Linked DNA regions of Mus musculus: all the other regions are reported to be linked to region 1. The links are microRNA targets in miRTarBase. Many come from high-throughput screens and were not tested one by one. Region 1 holds a microRNA gene; each other region holds the end of a gene's coding sequence.
The links. The annotated mature microRNA mmu-miR-3572-3p reads UACACUUGUCCUUCUUUCCCCAG and lies in region 1 at 1,316-1,338, shown strand. An mRNA with a match to its seed (bases 2 to 7 or 8) in the 3' UTR can be bound and repressed. Matches are read on the target gene's strand: a 7mer-m8 pairs with bases 2 to 8, a 7mer-A1 pairs with bases 2 to 7 and ends in A, and an 8mer does both.

Region 1 (5,000 bases):
TTAGGCTAATAGAAAGGACAGTCTCCAGTGGGAGGACCTAAGTGCACACTAATGAAGCTAATTTGGGGACCAGGGTTTAGGAGCAGCCAGAGTAATGGAGTGAGGAGGTGGGGCAAGGAATCATGGGGGTGGGCTTAGTTCTGCCACCTTATCAGGCCCCTTGACTGTCAAGCAGAAGTCCCAGGAAAAATGTGAATGGCCAGTTTTCTTTGTGATTTTTGTGTGGTGGTCAGAAGGCTAGGAGGCAGTTTGGCATGGCAGCCTGGTTGTTGGAGCGTAGTTTAAGTAGGGATGCCCTGGAGCACTGCATTTTTACAGTTTCATGATTAGCTGACATTCGGAAGGAATTGATTGTCCTAGTTCCCTTACGCTTAAACATTTAGGCTGATCCAACTAATTGCAAATTGAGGTTGGGATTTTTGTTTTTGTTTGTGTTGTTTGTTTCTTTTACAAGAGCATCTCGCTGTGTAGCCTATGCTGGCCTGAGCTCTCCAAATAGACAAGGCTAATCTCAGACTCATAGAGGGCTGCCTGTCTCTGCCTCTCAAGTGCTAGGATCAAAGGCATGTGTCACCACTTTAGGTCTCAAGTTCAGGGTATTTGAGAGTTTCCCTTGGTCTCTTGTCTTAACCTAAACCCTGTCAGATTCATGTGGGCTATAGGGACAATGTCCGGGGAGGACTTGGGACAGCTGGGTGGGCTGGAAGTAAATAGGTCTTAAACCTGAAGGTGATTGAAGTCTCCTAGGTGCCTCAGAGAATGTGGACAGTTAATAGCAGGTCAGAGGCAAGGCAGGAGGACAAGAAGAGGGTGGTGGATAGGGGACAGGCTGGTCTAGTACCTGACCCTTTGTTTTTTCTTTCTTTCTTCCTGCAGTCTCCAGCCAAAAATGGCTCCAAGCCTGTCCACAGCAACCAGCACCCCCAGTCCCCAGCTGTGCCGCCCACCTACCCCTCTGGCCCCCCACCTACCACTTCTGCCTTGAGCTCCACCCCTGGCAACAATGGGGCCTCTACCCCAGCAGCACCTACAAGTGCCCTGGGCCCTAAGGCCAGTCCAGCTCCCAGCCACAACTCGGGTACTCCTGCACCCTATGCCCAGGCTGTGGCCCCACCTAATGCCAGCGGGCCCAGCAATGCCCAGCCACGGCCCCCCAGTGCCCAGCCAAGCGGGGGAAGTGGTGGTGGCAGCGGAGGGAGCAGCAGCAATAGTAACAGTGGCACAGGCGGAGGGGCTGGCAAGCAGAACGGTGCCACAAGTAAGTGGAGACCAGTTTGGGGAACAGGGCAAGGTGGACAGTAGCTGACAGCCTGTTTACACTTGTCCTTCTTTCCCCAGGCTATAGTTCGGTTGTGGCAGACAGCCCTGCAGAGGTGACCCTGAGTAGCAGTGGGGGCAGCAGTGCCAGCAGCCAAGCCCTTGGGCCCACTTCGGGCCCTCACAACCCAGCTCCCAGCACCTCGTGAGTAGTGGGGTGGCAGTGTGTGGGCACAAGCTCTTATGCCACTTGTTTTAGGGTTCCAAGTTCTACCCTTCCTGGGTAGTACCTACCCAGTGTGTCCTTTCTTCACCTCAGCAAGTGTTCTTTTCCCTGCTTCTTACCAAGTGGGACATGTTTTACTCTCGGTTTCACACTACACTGTCTTCCCATTTCTGTTCTTTGCTCTGAGGCAGCTGACTCCCATGAGTGTGGGGGCTTTTCCCTTTTCCAAGTAAAATATCCTAGTCCTCCATTTCTTCAGCTTGACATCAGATTACTAATGAAAGATCTGCTGCCTTGTCAGCCTCGTTACCAGTCCTACTGGGATTGCACCATGTGCATCTGTGCAATCATTTACTCCAAAACTGTTTCAGTGACAATTCTAGAACTACCCTGTCCCCTGTCCTTTAACTTCATAAGCTGTTGGGGGGACCCTAAAATCCTGGTTGCACACCTCAGTACCTCTGCTGTACTGAAGAGGAGTCCAGAGGTTGGATTCACTTCTGCATGCTCCAGCTGTCTTGCTTTCAGCCCCCACCCCCCTTTTTGGATCCCATATTCTGTGCCTGTCTTCAAGGATCTTAATTTGATTCTCCTCCATTCTTTACCCAGAAAGGAATCCAGTACGGCAGCCCCATCAGGGGCTGGGAATGTGGCTTCAGGCTCAGGGAATAACTCGGGGGGACCCAGCCTCTTGGTGCCACTGCCTGTAAATCCCCCCAGTTCTCCAACGCCCAGCTTCAGTGAAGCCAAGGCAGCTGGTACCCTGCTTAATGGTCCTCCACAGTTCAGCACCACCCCAGAAATCAAGGTGAGTTTCTCGGGTGTGAGCCCTGAGCCTATCCTGCGACAGGAAATTCAATGAGTGCACTTTCCTAGAGGGGAAACATCTTAGAAGTTCTCCTGAGTGGGTGATAACGGCGTTAGCATGATTTTGACAGGAGGAGAAGCAAAGTGACACCTTGTGGAGAGACTCCTGGAAGGGTGGGGGAAGAGTAGCATGAAGGACTGAGCCTCATTGGCTGTGACTGGTGAAGAATGAGTCCCTCCAAGAGAGTTGGAGTGCAGGTCTGTGGGTGGGCTTCAGTGATGGAAGAGTTGTACAGAGTGGGTAGAAGAGCCAGCCCTGAGCTGCCTCACCAGGGAAAGCTGGGGGGGGGGGGGGGGGCTGCAGGCCCAACCCACTGATGTTCCCAAGGAGACTGAATGCCCAAGGGATGGTCGGCACCCTTAAGGCAACAGGAGCACCTGCAGTTCTGCCACCCACCTCTAAGAAGCATACTACTGTGAGCAGTCCGGCGGGTGTTCTCCCAGCATGTGGTGTCTTTATGGAAGTGTGTGCTTGTCCACTGCATAGGGTCACGTTTCCTCTGGAATGTGTTATGGACCCTGCAAAGAGGAGAGTGAACTCTCACAAATCTCATGCTGATTGGTGACTTCAGATTTGCAGCTTCCCTATAGCCATGGTTTAGAATATGGATGGATCTTGCAAATAGGGGACTGGCAATAGCAGATTATGCAGAGTGTACAGAGCCTATCAGGCTGTGCTTTTTTTTTTTTTTAAGATTTATCTGTTTGTTTATTGGTTTATTTATTTATTGTGTGTATGTGAGTACACCTGCTGTCTTCAGACACACCAGAAGAGGGCATCGGATCCCATTACAGATGGTTGTGAGCCACCATGTGGATGCTGAGAATTGAACTCGGGACCTCTGGAAGAGCAGACAGTGCTCTTAACCACTGACTGCTCCAGCCCCTAGGCTGAACATTTTTATGCAGCTCAGTCTCTGCTCAGGTCCTGAGACTTAACCCCTTTCTCTTCCCAGGCCCCTGAACCACTCAGCTCTCTGAAATCCATGGCAGAACGGGCAGCTATCAGCTCTGGTATTGAGGACCCTGTGCCAACGTTACACCTAACTGATCGAGGTGACAGTTATGGGATTGTGGGGAGGGCAAAGGCCAAAAAGGAGCTGACCCCATCCTCATCATTGAAGTGCTTAATGGCCTCTCCCCTGCAGACATCATCCTGAGCAGCACATCAGCACCACCCACCTCATCCCAGCCACCCCTGCAGCTGTCAGAGGTGAACATACCATTGTCACTGGGTGTCTGTCCACTGGGGCCAGTTTCCCTCACCAAGGAGCAGCTATACCAACAGGCCATGGAAGAGGCCGCCTGGCACCACATGCCCCACCCCTCTGACTCCGAGCGCATTCGGTGAGGGGCTGGAGAAAGGGCTGGGGACCGGGACTCCCCAGTCTGAGGGAGGAGCTGGTTCCTGGGTCCTGAGAGACTAGGTAGAGTACTCGTCTCAAAGTGCTGAGGACTTGACTTGGGGCTCCCTAAAGCAGGTTGAAGTGTGCTTCTGAACACTCTCCTGAAGGCAGGGCTGGAGCTCAGAGCCTCCTGGCACTAAATCCTCACTGGTCCACAGGCAGTACCTCCCCCGGAACCCTTGCCCGACACCCCCCTACCACCACCAGATGCCACCCCCACACTCGGACACTGTGGAGTTCTACCAGCGCCTGTCAACTGAGACGCTCTTCTTCATCTTCTACTATCTGGAGGTACAGCAGGGCCCCCGGGGCAGCCTCGGGCCCCCCAGCTCCGCCGCCACCGCTGCCATCCCCCCTCGGGCTGGAGGGGCGAGGTGGGTGTCCCACTGCGGCCACTGGGACCGCACCCCTCCCTATCCCAGTCTTGGGCCCCCTCAAATTAAACCTGACCCAGTCCCAAAACATTCTAATTGCTAAGATTCAGGGAGAGGCTGCAGGCCCTAGGCCATGTACAGTTTCCACTGCCAAGAGCTCTCAGCTCCTGGGAAACCCTTTAGTTTAGGATAGTTGCTGAAGTGCAGTAGACACTCCCAAGACCTAGAGACCTCTGCAGAACTGTCTGACCTCTTAACTGCAGTGGGTCAGCCCCTCCCCATCTCCTCCTGAGTTTTCTACTTCGTCTCCTTTCAGCTTTCATTATGCATTAGTTTCTCTTCTTTCTCAAAGCTTTTCTGAAAGCAATTCTCACCTCCTGTCTCATTTTCTTCTGACCATGGTATGTTTTGTGCTCCCAGCACTGTCTCCAAGTGGACTCTCCACAGCTGGTCTGTGGTGGGGGTCTGGGTCCAGCCCTGATGCCCTGCCCTTGTCCCCCTGCTAGCTACTCAATTTGGATACCTTCTGATCTTTCCTCTGCATTTTCTTTCCCAGGGAACCAAGGCACAGTACTTGGCAGCCAAGGCCCTAAAGAAGCAGTCCTGGCGATTCCACACCAAGTATATGATGTGGTTCCAGAGGCACGAGGAGCCTAAGACCATCACAGATGAGTTTGAGCAGGTGAGGGGCCCGTCCAACCTGGGCCCACTGGGGTATGGCTAGTGTACCCAATCCCAACCCTCAATCCTTGCTGGCCTTTCTCCTTTGGGCACAGTCCTGTAGACTGACCAAGCTGGTTCCCTAAGTGGTTCACCTAGCCTGGGATACTGTCCATCTCCCATTTGTCCATTTCTTAGTGCTTTAGTTTT
Region 2 (5,198 bases), not on the chromosome of region 1:
TCATTTATTTTTTTTTTTCAAGATGTGATTTCTCTGTGTAGCCTTGGCTGTCCTCGAGACAAGTCTGGCCTTGAACTCAGAGATCCAACTGGCTCCTACGTGCTGGGATCAAAGATGTGTGCCACCACCACTTTGTGCTTAATTTCAGAATTCAACCTTTTTTGGGGAGGGTTGAGGGAAGGATTCTTTTCCATCTCCTAGATAGTCCTCCATTATGGGTCAGTTCTGACTCAATGACTCCATATTTCACAACAGTTTTGTTATTTATAATATCACCCGAAGAGACAGCTCAGTTGAGAGCATGTATTCATTCAGAGAACCTGGGTTGGATTTCCAGCGCCCACATGGTAGCAGACACCATCTCTAACACCAGTTCCAGGGGATCAGAAATGTTCTCCGACCAACCACGTCAGATACCAGGCATGCGTGAGAGGTGAGGTGCACATACATACTTGCAAGAACAATTATAAACTAAAATAAATACATGAAAAAGAAAAAATCTCATTGGGCCAGCAAGATAGCTCAGTGAGTAGAGGTGCTTGCTTGCCAAGCCTGGCAAACTGAATTTGACCCCTGGGACCCACACAGTGGAAGGCGAGAACTGAATCCTGAAAGCTGTTCATTGATAAAGACACCATGTACTCCGGCATGCCACACACACACAAGCACACTAAATGTACATTTTTTTTTTTTGTAAATAAAATCAGTACTCCCCATATATACTTATCTATAGTGTCTCTCATGAAATGGGACAAACCAGCAACATTAAAAGAATCACCTGCTATTCATCTATATTAGTTCTCTCTCCTGCTATGGCAGGTGAGGGAACGACACACCAAAGTGGGTTTGAATCTTGAATGTCTATTGTCCATGGGGGAGGGGGGAGCGACACAAACAAAAGTAGAGTAACTTTGGGTTTGGGATGTGGAAGCCTAAATTTCTGGTTTGTGAGACAGGATCTTGAAGCTTTCTCTCTTCTTGCCCCTGCCCTCTGGGGCCGGGGCCCCAGGCACGCATGCAGCACCACTCTTTGGAAGCCTAGAAACTGAGGAGTAGCAAGAGCCAAGTGTGATAGCTTTAATCCCAATGCTTAGGAGGCAGAGGCAGATGGACCTTTATGAGCTCAAAGCCAGGCTACTCTACATAGCCAAGTTCAAGGGCAACTAGGGTATGCAGAGAACTGCCTCAGATTAGCGGAAGCCATTCAGACCCCAAGCTGAGTAAGTGCTTGATCTTTTGTGCTTAACTCCAGGCCAAAAGACCATAGCTGGGGCTGGTGAGATGGCTCAGTGGGTAAGAGCACCCGACTGTTCTTCCGAAGGTCCAGAGTTCAAATCCCAGCAACCACATGGTGGCTCACAGCCATCTGTAACAAGATCTGACTCCCTCTTCTGGAGTGTCTGAAGACAGCTACAGTGTACTTACATATAATAAATAAATAAATCTTTAAAAAAAAAAAAAAAGACCATAGCTACAGTCACCTCAACCTAAGGTAAAATCTCACCAGGGGTGGCTTCACCTCTGTGACTTTGCCTGTTGAAACCTAGGAACTAAAGACTCAGAGTCCTTCCCAATATTTAAGATAAAACAGGATCACAAAAGAAACCAATGACATTAAAATACGGTTGACTATTCACTATGGCAGTGGTGGTGCACACCTTTAATCCCAGCACTTGGAAGACAGAGGCAAACAGATCTCTGTGAGTTCCAGTCAGCCTGGCTACATAGTGAGAGTTCCAGGACAGCCAGGGCTACACAGAGAAACCCTGTCTCAAAAAACAAACCAAACAAACAAAAAGTGTGGTTAACTGCAAAGATGTCTGGGTATGAACTTCTTAAGAACAGGAATTGTCTTGTCTGCAAGATCAGTGTCTAGCACAAAACCTGCATCTTCATGGTACTTACTGGGGCTTAGGTGACGCAATCAGTTGGCGTTTAGTACTTATACATAGACAGTACTTACAAATGTTTATTTAATGAATGGCTAGAGAAAAGATAGCTACCATCAAGTCAGCCTGAGGAGTAATTTCATTGCAACTGCCTATTCACACATCAGAAGCTTGCATGTGTATCACCCCACCTAAAATAATCTAGACCAGGTCTGTGAGAGATCTCATCTCTCCAAGTACCACTGCAGCTAGCAATGACAGCAATTGGAAGACCAGGAAAACAGCAAAGCTCATGTAATCTGTTTTAAGTAAACAGGCTCTGTCTCAAGAAGGAAATCTGACTTTGGAAGCATGCTGCTCACACAACCTTTAATGACACAACAGCTGTGAAGAGCAAAAAGGCAGGACCTGAAGGAGCCTGCCTCTATTCTCTAGGGTGCCTCCCGTGTCCTGAATTGGTCTGCCCATCTCTGGAAAAGAGAAATGACCTAAAGGACACAACAGGGATGCGATGTGGCTTTCTAGGTTCAAGTAACAGTTTTGGTCTGAAGACCGAAACTTTTAGAGCAGGCAAGATGGCTCAATGGATGAGGGTGCTTACCACCAAGCCTGGCAACCTGAGTTCAATTCCCAGGACCCACATGGTGGAAGGCGAGAACAGACTCCTGCAGGTTGTTCTCTGATCTTCACATACATACCGTAGCAAGCTCACCATCACACACACACACACACACACACACACACACACACACACAGATAAATAAATGTAATAAAAATTCCTATGTATTAACAAAGTGTAAGGAAGGCAGGAATAAATTCCTTCTTTCACCAAAAGCTTGTCCTAAACAAAAATTTTTTGAGACACTATTTCATATATCCCAGGTTGGTCTTGAACTTGGTATGTATGACCTTGAATTTCTAAGTCTCCCGTCTCTATTTCCCAAGTGTTAGGATCAGATATGTGGCCCCATGCCCAGTTTACTTCTGGCTGGAGACTGAGCCCAGGGTTTCATGAACGCTAGGTGACCACTTTACCAATTCAGTTCTGTCCCCAGCCTAACTAAAGAGTCTGAAAAGAAAAGTCCAGTTTTAAAGCTGAAACAAATCTGAATAGAGTTCAGAAGCCGCACTCTTCAGGGTCTTCAGAGTGATCCCTGAGGGCTTGCTTCCCTGGTGACACATGGCCGTCTAAGAGATGGAAGGTGCAACTTTTGGTTGCTTACAGGGTTTTCAAAACCTGCAGGCAGGAAGACAGATTTAGACAGGCATCCTTCTCTATTTTTTTTTTTTAAACAAAAGCCAAAATTTTACTTTTAATAATAATAATAAATCCTCCAGCTCCTAAGCTGTATGCTTTTTTGACCTATAAAGTCACCTCGAGAGTCTCTATATTTTCCCTAACATAGTAAACAATATAATTAAAGAAACCAGAAACTGCTTACTCTCCCCCAAACGCTGAAGAGAATCAACGACATGGGATCACAGCAGAAAGAGTGACCTAGTAGTACCGAATGTACAAACAGCATTTAGGAAGAAGCCCCACGCCTGGACGTTACTGACACTCCTGTCATACTTCTTACAATGTCAAATACAATGTCCCTTTCCCAGAAAGTGCAGCTCACTCAGGAGCCATCTAGTCCACACCTCAGGAAAGGTGTTACCAGTTGTCCCTGCCAAGCCTAAGCCATTTTATGAGTTCGGTATCTCACAGAAACATCTGTGGTATCAGAAGAGGAGAATGGCAAAGAGAATGAAGGCAGGCAGGCACCTGTCACTGCTGTCTGCCAAAAAGCTACTGAGCATGGGGTCCAGCAGACGGAAGGAAAAGAAAAGGAAGCACCAGGGAAATGACTGCTTTTGGTTCCAAACCCGAAACATGTACACACACACACACACACACACACACACACACATACACACACACACACACACACTTGCATGCTTACGTGCAGGGCTCCACCAAAAATAGCAGCTGGTCTGCACGAGGGACTCTGCCATTCCTGGAGTCAAGAAACGAAAAATGATGGCCTTGGAGCCCCACCTCCATGACAGCCACAGTCCAAGAATTAGAACAATTTATACCACATCACAGTCTGCAAAGGAATGGACTGATAGTCCTGGGCGAGGAGGGTGAGGGCTTTGACAAGGCTGGGGGCAAGGTGAGCTATCCCAAAAGCACAGCTGTGACAATCTTTTGATTGCTTTGTGTCTTTCTATAATCTCTGTCCTCTTCTGAAATTGAAAATGGTACCCAACCCTCAGAGAGCGCAAGGGGCATCAGATGCACCTCTGGAAGACCATTCCTCGGCCCCTCCCTGTCAAAGGGCTCCCCCTATGAGCTGCTGATCACACTACTTTCCACCCTAAGCAGAGCCAACCTCCTGTTCTTTCAGTTTTGCACACCAGCATCTGAGGCCATCATATCCAGGACACAGAGGCAAGCGTGCTTCTGTATCCACAGCAGAGCTGGTCATCTTCTGGAGTCAGATCTGTGTTCCAGGGTCTGGTCAATGCGTCTTTACAAGAGTGAGACCATGCGTGTATACACAGACAGACTATTCTGGAAAGGATTCCTGGATATTTTGACACTTCCCCTAAAAGCAATTACCTTCCTTGGGGAAAGATGGTTCAGACCCTGGGTGCCCTGTTTCTAACTTCTGGAAAGGCAGCTTGTTCTGTCCAGTTGTCAATGAGGAAGTAGGAGGAACCCAACATTTGCAGTTACAACGAGATTTTGTAGTTTGGTTTTTTTTTGTTTGTTTTTGTTTTTTTTTTAAAAAAAGTTCTATGTGGAAATGAGCGGGACAATGATAAAAATAAACATAATTAAAATTCCAAACCAAAACACAGCTCTTGGCCCTGTCCCCAATCAGTCCTCCAAGACCACAATCTCCACATTGTGGACCTGATGCTGGTGTTCTTCCATTTCGGCTACCACTTTCTCCTCAGTCCTCAGCCCTGTCTCCAAGATGACTGCTTTGCCCTCAGTGTCGTCAGCCTCGGAGTCTGGGGCAGGGTCGATTTCAATGATGGTCTGCCCATCCTCAGAGGTGCTTTCAACAGCCTGGATTGCTGACGTCAGGCCGGACTCCATGGCCACCAGCTCCATGGGGCTCACCATGGTGGCCATGTTGCCCAGGGAACTCCCATCCTGCATAGAGGTGGAGCTTAGCAGTGCCAAACTTGAGGAAGGGTGGATGGTCACTGTGTCTGGTGAGTTGCTCTTGGCAGAGGAAACCACCGTGGCATAGCGGAAGAGCTGAGGGCCAGAAGGCAGTGTGTGGACAGTCACAGGACTGGAGCCCTGGC
Region 3 (5,198 bases), not on the chromosome of region 1:
TGTTCCTGGGCGGGCTGGGCTGGCCAGTGCCCCCTGGGGCTCTGCACTGACTGAGCTTCTCCTCTATGAGGAACAACTGCTTAGTGCTTCTACTTCCCTTTGTTTCTTAGAGTTAAATGACCGTGAAGAAAATGAAAATCACTTTCCAATCATTTATGGCATCGGTAAGTAGCGTTTGTATCCGAGGGTTATATGGTGTGCATGTGGGCATAGCAGACTGTGTTAGGTTAAAGGTCTGTTGGTGAGTTTGGAAACCCTGGGCAAGAGGCCAACCTTGACTAACCTTTTAGCTGTGAGGTTGTTAATGCCAGTGTACAGCACAGGCTATGCACCCCACACTCATTCCTGTAGCACAGTGTCACATGTCACAGTGTCACACTGCCTCACTGGAGGGGAGGGGTCTGGCGTTTTTCCCCCCTAGCCAGTGCTCATGGGGAAGGTGTGAGGTATTTGGATCTCTATATATTCTGGGAATGAAGTAAGGAAGCCCAGGGTCCTCCTCTCTTCAGTTCTGAGGCTAGCAAATTGCAAAGGGCTTCTGGTGTATCCTTGTTTAGCTAGCTGGGTGGTGAGCACACAGGCACTTCTTATTTTATTCTCTGTCACTTTGCAGCCTCACAAGTGTCTGTGGTCGCAGCAGAGTTCTGAAACCACATGCCGCAAGGGTCCAGAGCAGGTCTGGGGCTGTTCTTCTCTCTGTGCTGGTTCAGAGGTTGTCAGCACCTCAGACTTCCTTCAGCTCCCGTTCCTTTCTGTTTCTGCTTCTTATGTGGAGTGCTAGAAATGTGAAGTCTGATTTGGATCTTTGTCGATTTAAAGTCACTCCCTTGTCCCTTGCAGCTGTCAACATTAAAACTGCAGAGATTTACAGAGCTTCCTTTCAAGATCGTGGTCCAGAGGAGCAACTGCGTGCTGCAAGAGCTTTAGCAGGAGGCCCAGTGAGTGGGAGCCTATTTTTGTGGGATAAAGAGGGAACCCCAAGAGCCTCAAGTTTTTAGACCCGAGAAAAGCTATGGCCACCTCCTTACCCAGCCCACTTCCTCAAGAGTTAAGAGGTTCGCCCTGCAGTGGCGGCACACGCCTTTAATCCAAGCACTTGGGAGGCAGAGGTAGGCGGATTTCTGAGTAGAGGCCAGCCTGGTCTACAGAGTGAGTTCCAGGACAGCCATGGCTACACAGAGAAACCCTGTCTCGAAAAACCAAAAAAAAAAAAAAAAAAAAAAAAGGTTCTAAGTGAGTTTAGGTTCTAAGTGCCAGACACTAGTTCTCTCCTTGGAAGATAGAAGAGACAGTAACAGCCTGCCTGGGACGTCTTCCCATAGAGAGGATGGCAGGGACGGAAGTGACCAAGGAGTAGTAGTTTAGTGAGTCACTTAGTCAGTTTTAAAGTCTAACTTCCTTAGGGCACTATATTTTTCCTTGTTTTTAGTAGTGCTAAGGATGGATTCAAGATGCTCCTCACATATGCTGGGTAAGTGCTCTGTCACCGAGCACTTTTAGCCTAGGCCCTTTTATCTTTAGATAAGAGCTTGTTATGTAAGAGCTTCAACATTTCCCAGGCTGGGATTACACAAGTGTACAACTGTGTCTTGGTCTCTAGGATGCTTAATATTCATCCCATCGGAAGAATTGGTAGAAGCTAGAAGAATTTACAATGTACAGAATGAGCCTGGCACACAGTTTTAATCTAAACACTCAGGAGATATACAGGTGGATTGCTGTGAGGTAGAGGCCAGCCTGGGATGTCAAGGCAAACACGATCCTATGTAACATGTAAACATGTTATGCTATGTAGGCATGATCTGTAGCACTGACATGAGAAGCTGGGTGTGCTGTGCATGCTTCCAGTCCTCGTACTGGGGAAGAGACAGGCTGACGATTGAGGTTTCTAGTCTTGCTGAATATGTAGTTTCCGCTTCAGTGGGAGGTCCTGTCTTGTCTTAAACAACTGAAGACACAGGGCACAGGTGCCTGGTCTCAAGTATGTGCCAGCAACGCAGGCCCCAGCAAGCTCCAAGTCTGCTTGTTTGTGTAGTGCTAACAACATCTCAGGAAAATGTTCAGAGACAGACATTTGTTTTGCCAGTCTTTTAATAATTTTCAGGAGTCCTAATCTTGTCTTTAAAAACTTTGCATTTGACTTGGTTTTGCTATGTAGCCTAGGGTGTCTTGGAACTGTGGCAAAGGATTCTTTTTGTTATTTAGTTAATAATTAGAATATTGAGTACTCTTTTCAAAACTGAAAATTCCCACTGGCATGATTTGGGAATTCAAGGAATGGCCAATCAGCTTCCACAGAGCTGGTAGTGATGGTATGCACACCTGTGATCCCACATTCGGGAGTTGAGACCAGCCCCAAGGTATGTGAGACCTACTGCAGCACAGAAAACCAGGGGAGGTATGGTGGTGCACACTTTTTTTTTTTTTTTTTTTGGTTTTTCCGAGATAGGGTTTCTCTGTGTAGCCCTGGCTGTCCTCGAACTCAGAAATCCGCCTGCCTCTGCCTCCCAAGTGCTGGGATTAAAGGTGTGTGCCACCACGCCCGGCTTGGCGGTGCACACTTTTAAAGCAGGAAGATCCCAAAGTTTAAAGGCCAGCCTGGTCTACCACAGTCAGTCCCTGTCTCAAAAACAAGACAGACAAACAGCAACAAAAGCAAAAGACCCAGACCTTTCTTTTATTCCTTTTGTGAGACAAGGCCTCACTGTCATCCAGGCTGTCCTGGAACCCACAGTGCTCTTCTCTGGGTCAGCCTCAGCCTCCTGAGTGTTTGATGGCAGGTATGAGCTGTCTGTCTTGGGCACTGTGAACTCTTTTATGTGACATGATGACTACTTGCTTGGGGTGGTAATAAGGAGCTGTGGTATTCTGTGTAACCATGAGGAATTCAGGCTTTAGTCAGACCTACCTGGCTCTGAGGCCCTGCTGCTGCTCACTGGACATGTGACCTGAGACCTCTCACCATCAGCTTCCCCTTGAGAGGACAGCATGTTGTCTTCTTGTAGGCTTGCCATCAAAAGTAAACACAGCAGTGCACAGGGAAGCATTTGGTGGTGGCAGCCTTGTTGTTACGGGAGGTCAATGTGCGCAGCTTATCAGCTAAGGGGACAGACAACCTTGGAACTAGCCTATAGCAGTGGTAGGGCAGTGTCCTTACAGCTTGTCATGGAAATGGTTCTTTTAGATGATTAGCATTTATGATGCAAAGACAGAACAACTCCGAATAGGCCCGTGTTCCTGGACGCCATTCCCACAAGTGGATTTCTGGTTGCAGCAAGATGACAAGCAAATCCTAGAGGTGAGAGTTTACAGGTCGGCTAAACCTTAAGTCTCTGCACCCTGGTTCCCATCTGTAAGAAAAAAAGGTTAGACCAGCTAAGGCTGCTTCTCCTCAATGGGTGAGAGTGACTATCTGTTGCCACTGGCAGTGTCTCTTTCCTTTACGGCAGTGGGGGATTAGTGACATCCTGGCAGCTGTTTATACAGGTGAAGCAGTAAGCAATGTAGTGTGTGTTTCCCCAGATGTACAGACACCACACTGAAACTAGCCCAGTAAATGTGTACGCAGCCCAAGGCTACTCTGATGTTGAATGAGAGGTCAGCCTGGTCCTCTCACATCCACCATCTTGTCTTTTCAGAGCCTTTCCACGTCTCCTCTGGCCGAGCCCCCCCACTTTGTTGAACATATTAGATCTACCTTGATGTTTTTAAAAAAATTCCCATCTCCAGAGAATATACTCTTTCCTGGAAATAAAGCTCTCCTCTACAAAAAAAATAAAGATGGCTTGTGGGAAAAGATCTCCTCTCCAGGGAGCTAACATCAGCTCAGAGTTTACTGAAGAATTCATCTTCACCTGATAAAGATGGTTGCTGGTTTGGAATCTACACCTGCACACTTTTACTTCTTCCGTCCTTCCTGTCTTTCAAAATAAAATCTTATTTTGGCAAAGGCAATTTGTTTAGATGACTTTTTACGGCAACAAAAAGTCCACATTCCCTCAGCAGTGAGGGAGAGAAGCAAGACCACTGGCTTCATTGGCAGGGCCTTCACAGACAAGTTGGTCGGGAAAACTCCTTATTCAAAAGTTACTTTTAGCCGAGGGCTTGTCTGCTTCAGCCTTACCGTGCTGCACAGCTGACGACACTGACTCGTCATGGCGGCTTTCTGTCCCAAATAAACACAAGCACAGTGCACACTGGGCACCAACTTAAAAGCATTACCAGTGTTTAAAAATACACTTAAATATGGTCAGGAAGAGATCTTAAGAGTTAATTACTCTATTAACAGGTGAGTCCTTACATTTGTTTACAGAGTGTAAGGAGAAAAGGTGCAGCAAGGGGCAGTCCTAGCCACAGCTCATGTGGACAGTCCTTACTTAGGCTCCCGGAGAAGCAGCAGTGGGGACAGAGGCAGAGGAGCTCCTGATGCCAACCAGTGAGGCAGGCACCTACCACAACTCGGCTGACCTACAGAGCTACTACGACAGACGGAGGAGAACCTGGAGAGTCACTGTATGCAGCTTCATCACGATTAGCTTCAGAGCCATGAGAGCAGTGTTTCAAGTGGCAGGTGCTTGAAGGCCACGGTTCTCAGTACAAAATGTGTGGTACAGGAAGAAAGGGTATGCCTATGTTGGACAGGCCAAAATAGTCAATTGTCATTTGTTCTACTTACAGATAAAATAATTAATTGCCCCCTAGAAAGCCCGCTTTTCTGACATGTGTCTGTGCAAAACTCCCAGTTTAGCACAAACAACAAAAGTTTTTATCATATTAACATGTGGCATAGTTCACGTCTTCCATAGAACTTCACCTTCCCTGAAACGACAGTTAGTACAGCCTCCAGCCCAGCACTACTGAGCTTATCTTAAGCGCTCCAGTTCCTCTACCTGTGAATGGTCATCTTCCTGATGCTGGGCCTGGTTCTGCAGGGCCTCAGTCTGTCTGGCCGTGAGATCAGTGGCCCTGGGAGGCTGCTCAGGGCTGTGGGCCTCTAGGTTGTCATGCTCTAGCCCACTGGACAGCTGTTCCACCTTTTCCAGGTCTTCAATGTGGCTGACTGAGCTGGTCTCACTCACAGCATCCGAGCCTCTCAGGGACCTTTTAAAAGGCTTCTGACCTAGGGACATGAGACGGACTATCCTGAAACTGGTAGTATATGCAAAGGCTCTGTGGTCCTGATGGTCACTGATTTTTGC
Region 4 (5,198 bases), not on the chromosome of region 1:
GATACATAACTCTGAGCGATACTGTGGTACCATATCGTATCCCTCAGCGGTTATACAGTCACACGGGACTCTTGAATTAGTCATGAAGCCAGATTTGATGGGCCTGGCCACACAAGCCTGTAATCCTAGCTCTTCAGTGGAAGGCTGAAGCAAGAAAACAGCTCCTGAGCTAGGTGTGTACTGAAGGTCAGCCTGAGCAACTTAGGAAGATTAAGACCCTATCTCAAAATAAAAAGTAAAGGCAGGGGAGCCACACAGGCCTGTAATCTCAGCACTCAAAAGGCTTGAGCAGGCCCAGACTTTACAGTCATCCTCAGCAACATAATGGAATTTGAGGCGTACATGGACTCTAAGAGAGACTCTGAGCTCTGGTGAGCTGAGAATGTGGCCCAATGGTGAAGTGCTTACCCAGCTTAAGGGAAGGAGGGCTCCCCTGGCATAGCTAGTAACTACAGGAGTTACCCGCTAAGCCTAGTCCTAAAGGGACACTTGGACACAGCTCAGAGATTCACCTGGAGTCATCATGAACACTGGTGGAACTCAAGGGGGAGACCTACACCGTCACCAAGAGAGTACTGGACACCCTGCAAGCTGAAACCAGCCTGGCATTCCACAGGGCTCTTGATAAGAACACAGATACATGGCTCTGAAATAATGCACACCACTCACCCCCCACTCCAGGCCCTTTTTTTCTCTTGTGCTCCTTCCTTCCGAAACCAAGTTTAGACCTGAGCTTCCTTGAACGGCCTCAACGCAGAGTCCTCACTTCCGGACTCCCACGAATCTCACGTTCCCTCTGGTCCCAAGTTCCAGTCACTTCCGAGATGGGGCCTTGTCCCTCCATTCTGAACCCTTCTCCAAGCAGGCTGTGGCTGATCGGGACTCAGGAGCTGGGGAACTGATGGTTTAGGTCTCCTGTTTGTCGTGCTGCCCTGAGCCGATTAGGGAAACCTGGACTTGGGTGTACAAGAAGTCTGAAAAGCTGGCCATGAGCATGCGATCATCTCCTTATGGGTAAGTTGTAGGCCAACTTAAATTGACACGTCAATGATCAAACTGCAGCAGAGTGTGTACATTCCTCCTAGCCTGTTCAGACCTATTCTCATGCCTCAACTTCATGGTTTAGATGTGATGCATCGAAGCTCAAGAGTATTAGGTACAGGAGTCAGTTGGATCAGGTACAAGTTCACTGTCCTCATTCTTCAAGATTGTCTTCAAAAGCAAGAGCAATTTCTGGCCAGGAACCCACCTCTGTTCTGCCAGCCATCAGTATTACGTGCAGCTGGGGAAAGGAATACTAAAGAGAATGACAAGGGCCATGCAGCACTCTGTTGAGACTCCCCCTTTGTCGGTCCTTGTTTTCTTACCTGTGTAAGAGGAGAAAGGCAAGCTATGGAGTCTTGAAGACTCCTGGGCTCTGACTGAAACACCATCGAGTTTGTGCTACCACCCCCTTCCTCTCAAGTGGCAGCACATTTTTTGATACCTAACCCCCGCACTGGTTGCAGTGATATAGTACAAATTTGTTAGATGACTTTCAAGACCCTCTGACTATAAGCCCATCTCTTCCACTTTCTTCCTCCTTAAGTGCCACAATGAACATATTTGGGAGCAAGTGGCTTAAGGCCAGGTGTAGTGTACACACCTCTAATGCCTACACTTAGGAGGTAGGGGCAGGTAAATCTGAGTTGAAGGCCAGCTTGGTCTATATAAGAAAGGACTCTACACTGAGAGATTACAGATTAAATTGCTTCAGTGTTTTTTTTAAAAGATAATATACAATATATCAGGTAAATTAGGGCACCTTGGAAATGGGGAGAGGCATACTGGCTGGTTTAACAATGATTACTGGATTCCTGTAACAGGTACAGAGGTGTTACTCAAAGCAGAGCCAGAAAGGCTCCATCATATTAAATGACAAGAGACACTGTAGGTAATAATTCTGAGAAAAATAAAATTTTTTAAGAAACTACTGGTCTATAATACTGGCACTTTGAGTCTCAGGCAGAATTGAGAATCTGTGAGACTGAAACCAGGTTGGGCAATATAGCAATTTTATTCTCAAGAAAAAGGAAAAACAAGGTTTGTTTACTGAGACAGACTCCGTCTGTAGCTCAAGATCTAACTGCCTCAACCTCTTGAGGCTGGGGATTACAGGTATGGGCCATTATACACTGCAGAAACATCCTTTTCTATTGTGTATTTTGTGTATGTGAATGCAGAGGATAACTGCAGGAGACAGTCTTTCCTTCTACTATGTGGGTTCTAGGGATTGATAAATCAAGATTGGTCATCAGTGCTTACCTCTGCTAGCCCCAAAATATAGTTTTAAAATTGTACTTACCTTTTTCCTTCTTTGGACAATGCCCCCCTCCCCCCAACTGTAACAAAAAAATCTGTATTCAGACTCTAGCAAAGTTATATAATAACAGCCTAAAAACATCACTTTACTTACTTTTTTTTTTTTTCTTTTTTTTGAATTTACGGTTTGATTTGGTGCAGTGCTGCGAACTGAAGCCAAGGACTGGAGCACACTAAGTACATGCTATACAACCCAGCACTGTATAAAGGGACTTTTAATTTTGAACAGCGGAACACTCCCTTTGGGATACGGATGTGAGCCCTTGTGATAGGTAATACAGGCTGCATGGACTCTCAGCACTCATCACATACAAAGTGAACTCAAATTACTTTACCTTCTACAAACAAAATCAAGGATTCACAAACTATGGCATTTTATTTCAGAGCTTTTGCTTACATTTGTACAATATATTACATAATTCATCATGTTTGCAGATCCTAATATATACTTTATAGTTTTATTCTATAAGTTTTTTCTTCAACATTTTGCTGTCAACAAATCTTTACAGTCTGTACAAATTTGAGTAATTTGAAATCATTTTTCAACAAAATTAGTTACTGTAAGCACACATTACAAGACTGAAAATGCTTTTCTTAGAAAGGTTCAATGTAAAGGATTAAGGATTCTGACACGTTAGCATCTACAACAAAACGCTTCGAGATTCTCACATGTATTGCCAGAAAACAAATAAAACATGCCAGCCTCATTCAAAAAAAGCACACAGAATCACAATTAAAACAGTAAAACGGTCTGTACAGTGAAGTACTGTGTATTAACAGCGCCAGGTTTTAAATAGCCTCAATGAACACATCCGCAATATACAAATGTATTACAAAGGTGGGGAATTAAATACAAGTGCCAAACAGAGATTGGAATCATACAACATAAAGTCAATACAAGTGAAAACAGCTTGGCGTTCATTCTGCAGTTTATACAAGGCATTGAATTGTATAGGCCTACTACCCAACTAGCTACTTATACTTAAAATAATAACCATCTTTGTGAGGCAGGTCATATAAACAACCTTGAACCATTCTAACAGTTTGTTCCTGAAGTCTTTTTGTTGTAAGCTCATAATAAAATAAGCAATACAAATGAATTATCTGTATTTAAGGGAAAAGAAACATTTACAAGAAAACACAAAAATATAACTGTTATAATTCATTATGAATAAATATACACTTTGAACTGGCTAAGTACAATCTTTATACATTGTTTAAGATTTAATACAGTTTATTAGCCATTTTCTTTTTTCACACAATGTATTATATCAAAATTAAAAAAAAATACTGATTTATAGAAAAATGGCAAAGTACAGTAGTCCCATTTCAATTTGAAGGGGTGTGAAAAGCCACCACAGACCTTTTAGCCTAATTCAAACCTGTAAACATGTTCAGTCATTTTTAAAGAGAATCTTTAATATTTGGTTACCAGGATGATGTCTAATAATATCCTGTTAACTAACTGCAAGTCTTGAATTTGTTACATGTGCTTGACTTATACAATTAAAGTCACCCTAAAGTGACTTGCTTTAAAAAACAATTAGCTTGTACAAATGAAAATAGGTTCATATTTTTAATAAATGAATGGAAAAATATCAAATGTTCCAGCTTTAACAAAATACAAGGGAATACATATACAGTAAGTCTTCTCACATGTTCTGGCCCACCTTTTCTCTGCCTACTGTGTCGTCTCTACAGGCAGTGAAAAGCCTCCTCTGCCACAGTGGAAGGCCTTCAAGTTACCAGACACACGCAATTCCCAGACAAGTTGGAAACAATTATTGCTTGAGGAAAAGCAGTTCGTTGTACTTTTTCTTCATAAAAAAAGTGCACTTAAGTGCCAAGTCAGCTTGTCAAGAAATAATTTTTAAATATAAAATAGTGCTTGTCTGATTTTGTGTGTTTGTGTGCCACTGTGCAGTATAAAAAAAGATGTGGCCCTCAACAGCCATTAAGTGCAAAGTGCTCTAGCAAGTCCTGCTGTCACCTGCACTCAACTGACATTCCATTCTGTGATGCACTGGACATTGATGGTTCAGCTAGTGTCAACATAACAGCAGCTGTGATGGAGCTGGACGAGGGAGAAGAGGAGGAAGAAGATGTAGCAGCACCTGAGAAGAAGGAAGAGCACACGTGAGGCTACAAAGCAGGCTGCACTGGGAAGATGCAAAAAGCTCACTCAGCTTCAGCCTAAACTTCTCTTGTGTTCTCCAAAGTCAGTGTATAGGAGCCATCCCTGCACAAAGTACCACAGTATAAAGAAAGGGAAAGCCAGCAGCAGACTGTTGCCCATCTGCAAACCACAGACGGCAGAGCTCAGTGGCAACGGACTTGATGGGATTACAAGGACATTGGTTCTATTCCTAGCCCTGTCAAAGGAAAAAGAAAGCAAGGTGGAGAGGGAAGAGGGAGGGGAGGAAAGGATTTGTGTATACATACTGCAGAACACATAATTAAAGAGTAACTTTGTTCACTAACTACCCACACAGTTTTGAATGAAAACAGGAAAATTGTCTGTCTGCTACTTTTCTAATACCTCATTCTGCACCACTTTTCCACTAAACTCTGAGACCACAGAGGTAGCTTGGCAGATATAGCCTAACAACCTGAGCTGAACGCCCAGACACTACCAGGTAGAAGGGAAGAAATGACTCAATGATGTTTCTTCTTGTGCACATTGCACTCAGAAAATAAATGACTTTGTTTTCAAGTGTAAAAAGAATGGGTGGCTGAGGACTGTTTTCCTCAAGGGAAGTCTTTCATTATTATCAGTACATGAAATGGAATGTTTTAAAAGATTATCTCTACACACAAATAAGAAGGAATAAACATCC

Region 2: miRTarBase lists Gmeb1 as a target of mmu-miR-3572-3p. Seed matches in the 3' UTR shown: 7mer-m8 at 3,820-3,826.
Region 3: the mRNA of Pdxdc1 is a reported target of mmu-miR-3572-3p. Seed matches in the 3' UTR shown: 7mer-A1 at 4,235-4,241.
Region 4: the mRNA of Arid4b is a reported target of mmu-miR-3572-3p. Seed matches in the 3' UTR shown: 7mer-A1 at 3,540-3,546.

Annotation. Positions count from the first base shown.
Region 1 is chr7:3,654,695-3,659,694 of GRCm38, forward strand. Mir3572 (microRNA 3572) reads left to right here and starts at 1,268; the gene lies at 1,268-1,353. Cnot3 (CCR4-NOT transcription complex, subunit 3) reads left to right here. Exons shown (of 18, transcript NM_146176.3): 11 at 877-1,258; 12 at 1,339-1,462; 13 at 2,093-2,291; 14 at 3,307-3,406; 15 at 3,499-3,697; 16 at 3,915-4,047; 17 at 4,687-4,812.
Region 2 is chr4:132,221,007-132,226,204 of GRCm38, forward strand. Gmeb1 (glucocorticoid modulatory element binding protein 1) reads right to left here. Exons shown (of 10, transcript NM_020273.2): 10 at 19-5,198. The coding sequence ends at 4,759. Among named protein-coding and RNA genes, the nearest start is that of Ythdf2, 11 kb to the left of the region's middle.
Region 3 is chr16:13,831,497-13,836,694 of GRCm38, forward strand. Pdxdc1 (pyridoxal-dependent decarboxylase domain containing 1) reads right to left here. Exons shown (of 23, transcript NM_053181.3): 23 at 4,204-5,119. The coding sequence ends at 4,863. Ntan1 (N-terminal Asn amidase) reads left to right here. Exons shown (of 10, transcript NM_010946.4): 7 at 111-164; 8 at 841-938; 9 at 3,185-3,298; 10 at 3,639-3,954. The coding sequence ends at 3,818. Among named protein-coding and RNA genes, the nearest start is that of Ntan1, 15 kb to the left of the region's middle.
Region 4 is chr13:14,196,883-14,202,080 of GRCm38, reverse strand. It overlaps Arid4b (AT rich interactive domain 4B (RBP1-like)), which reads right to left. Exons shown (of 24, transcript NM_194262.2): 24 at 2,478-4,475. The coding sequence ends at 4,348. Among named protein-coding and RNA genes, the nearest start is that of Gm26129, 110 kb to the right of the region's middle.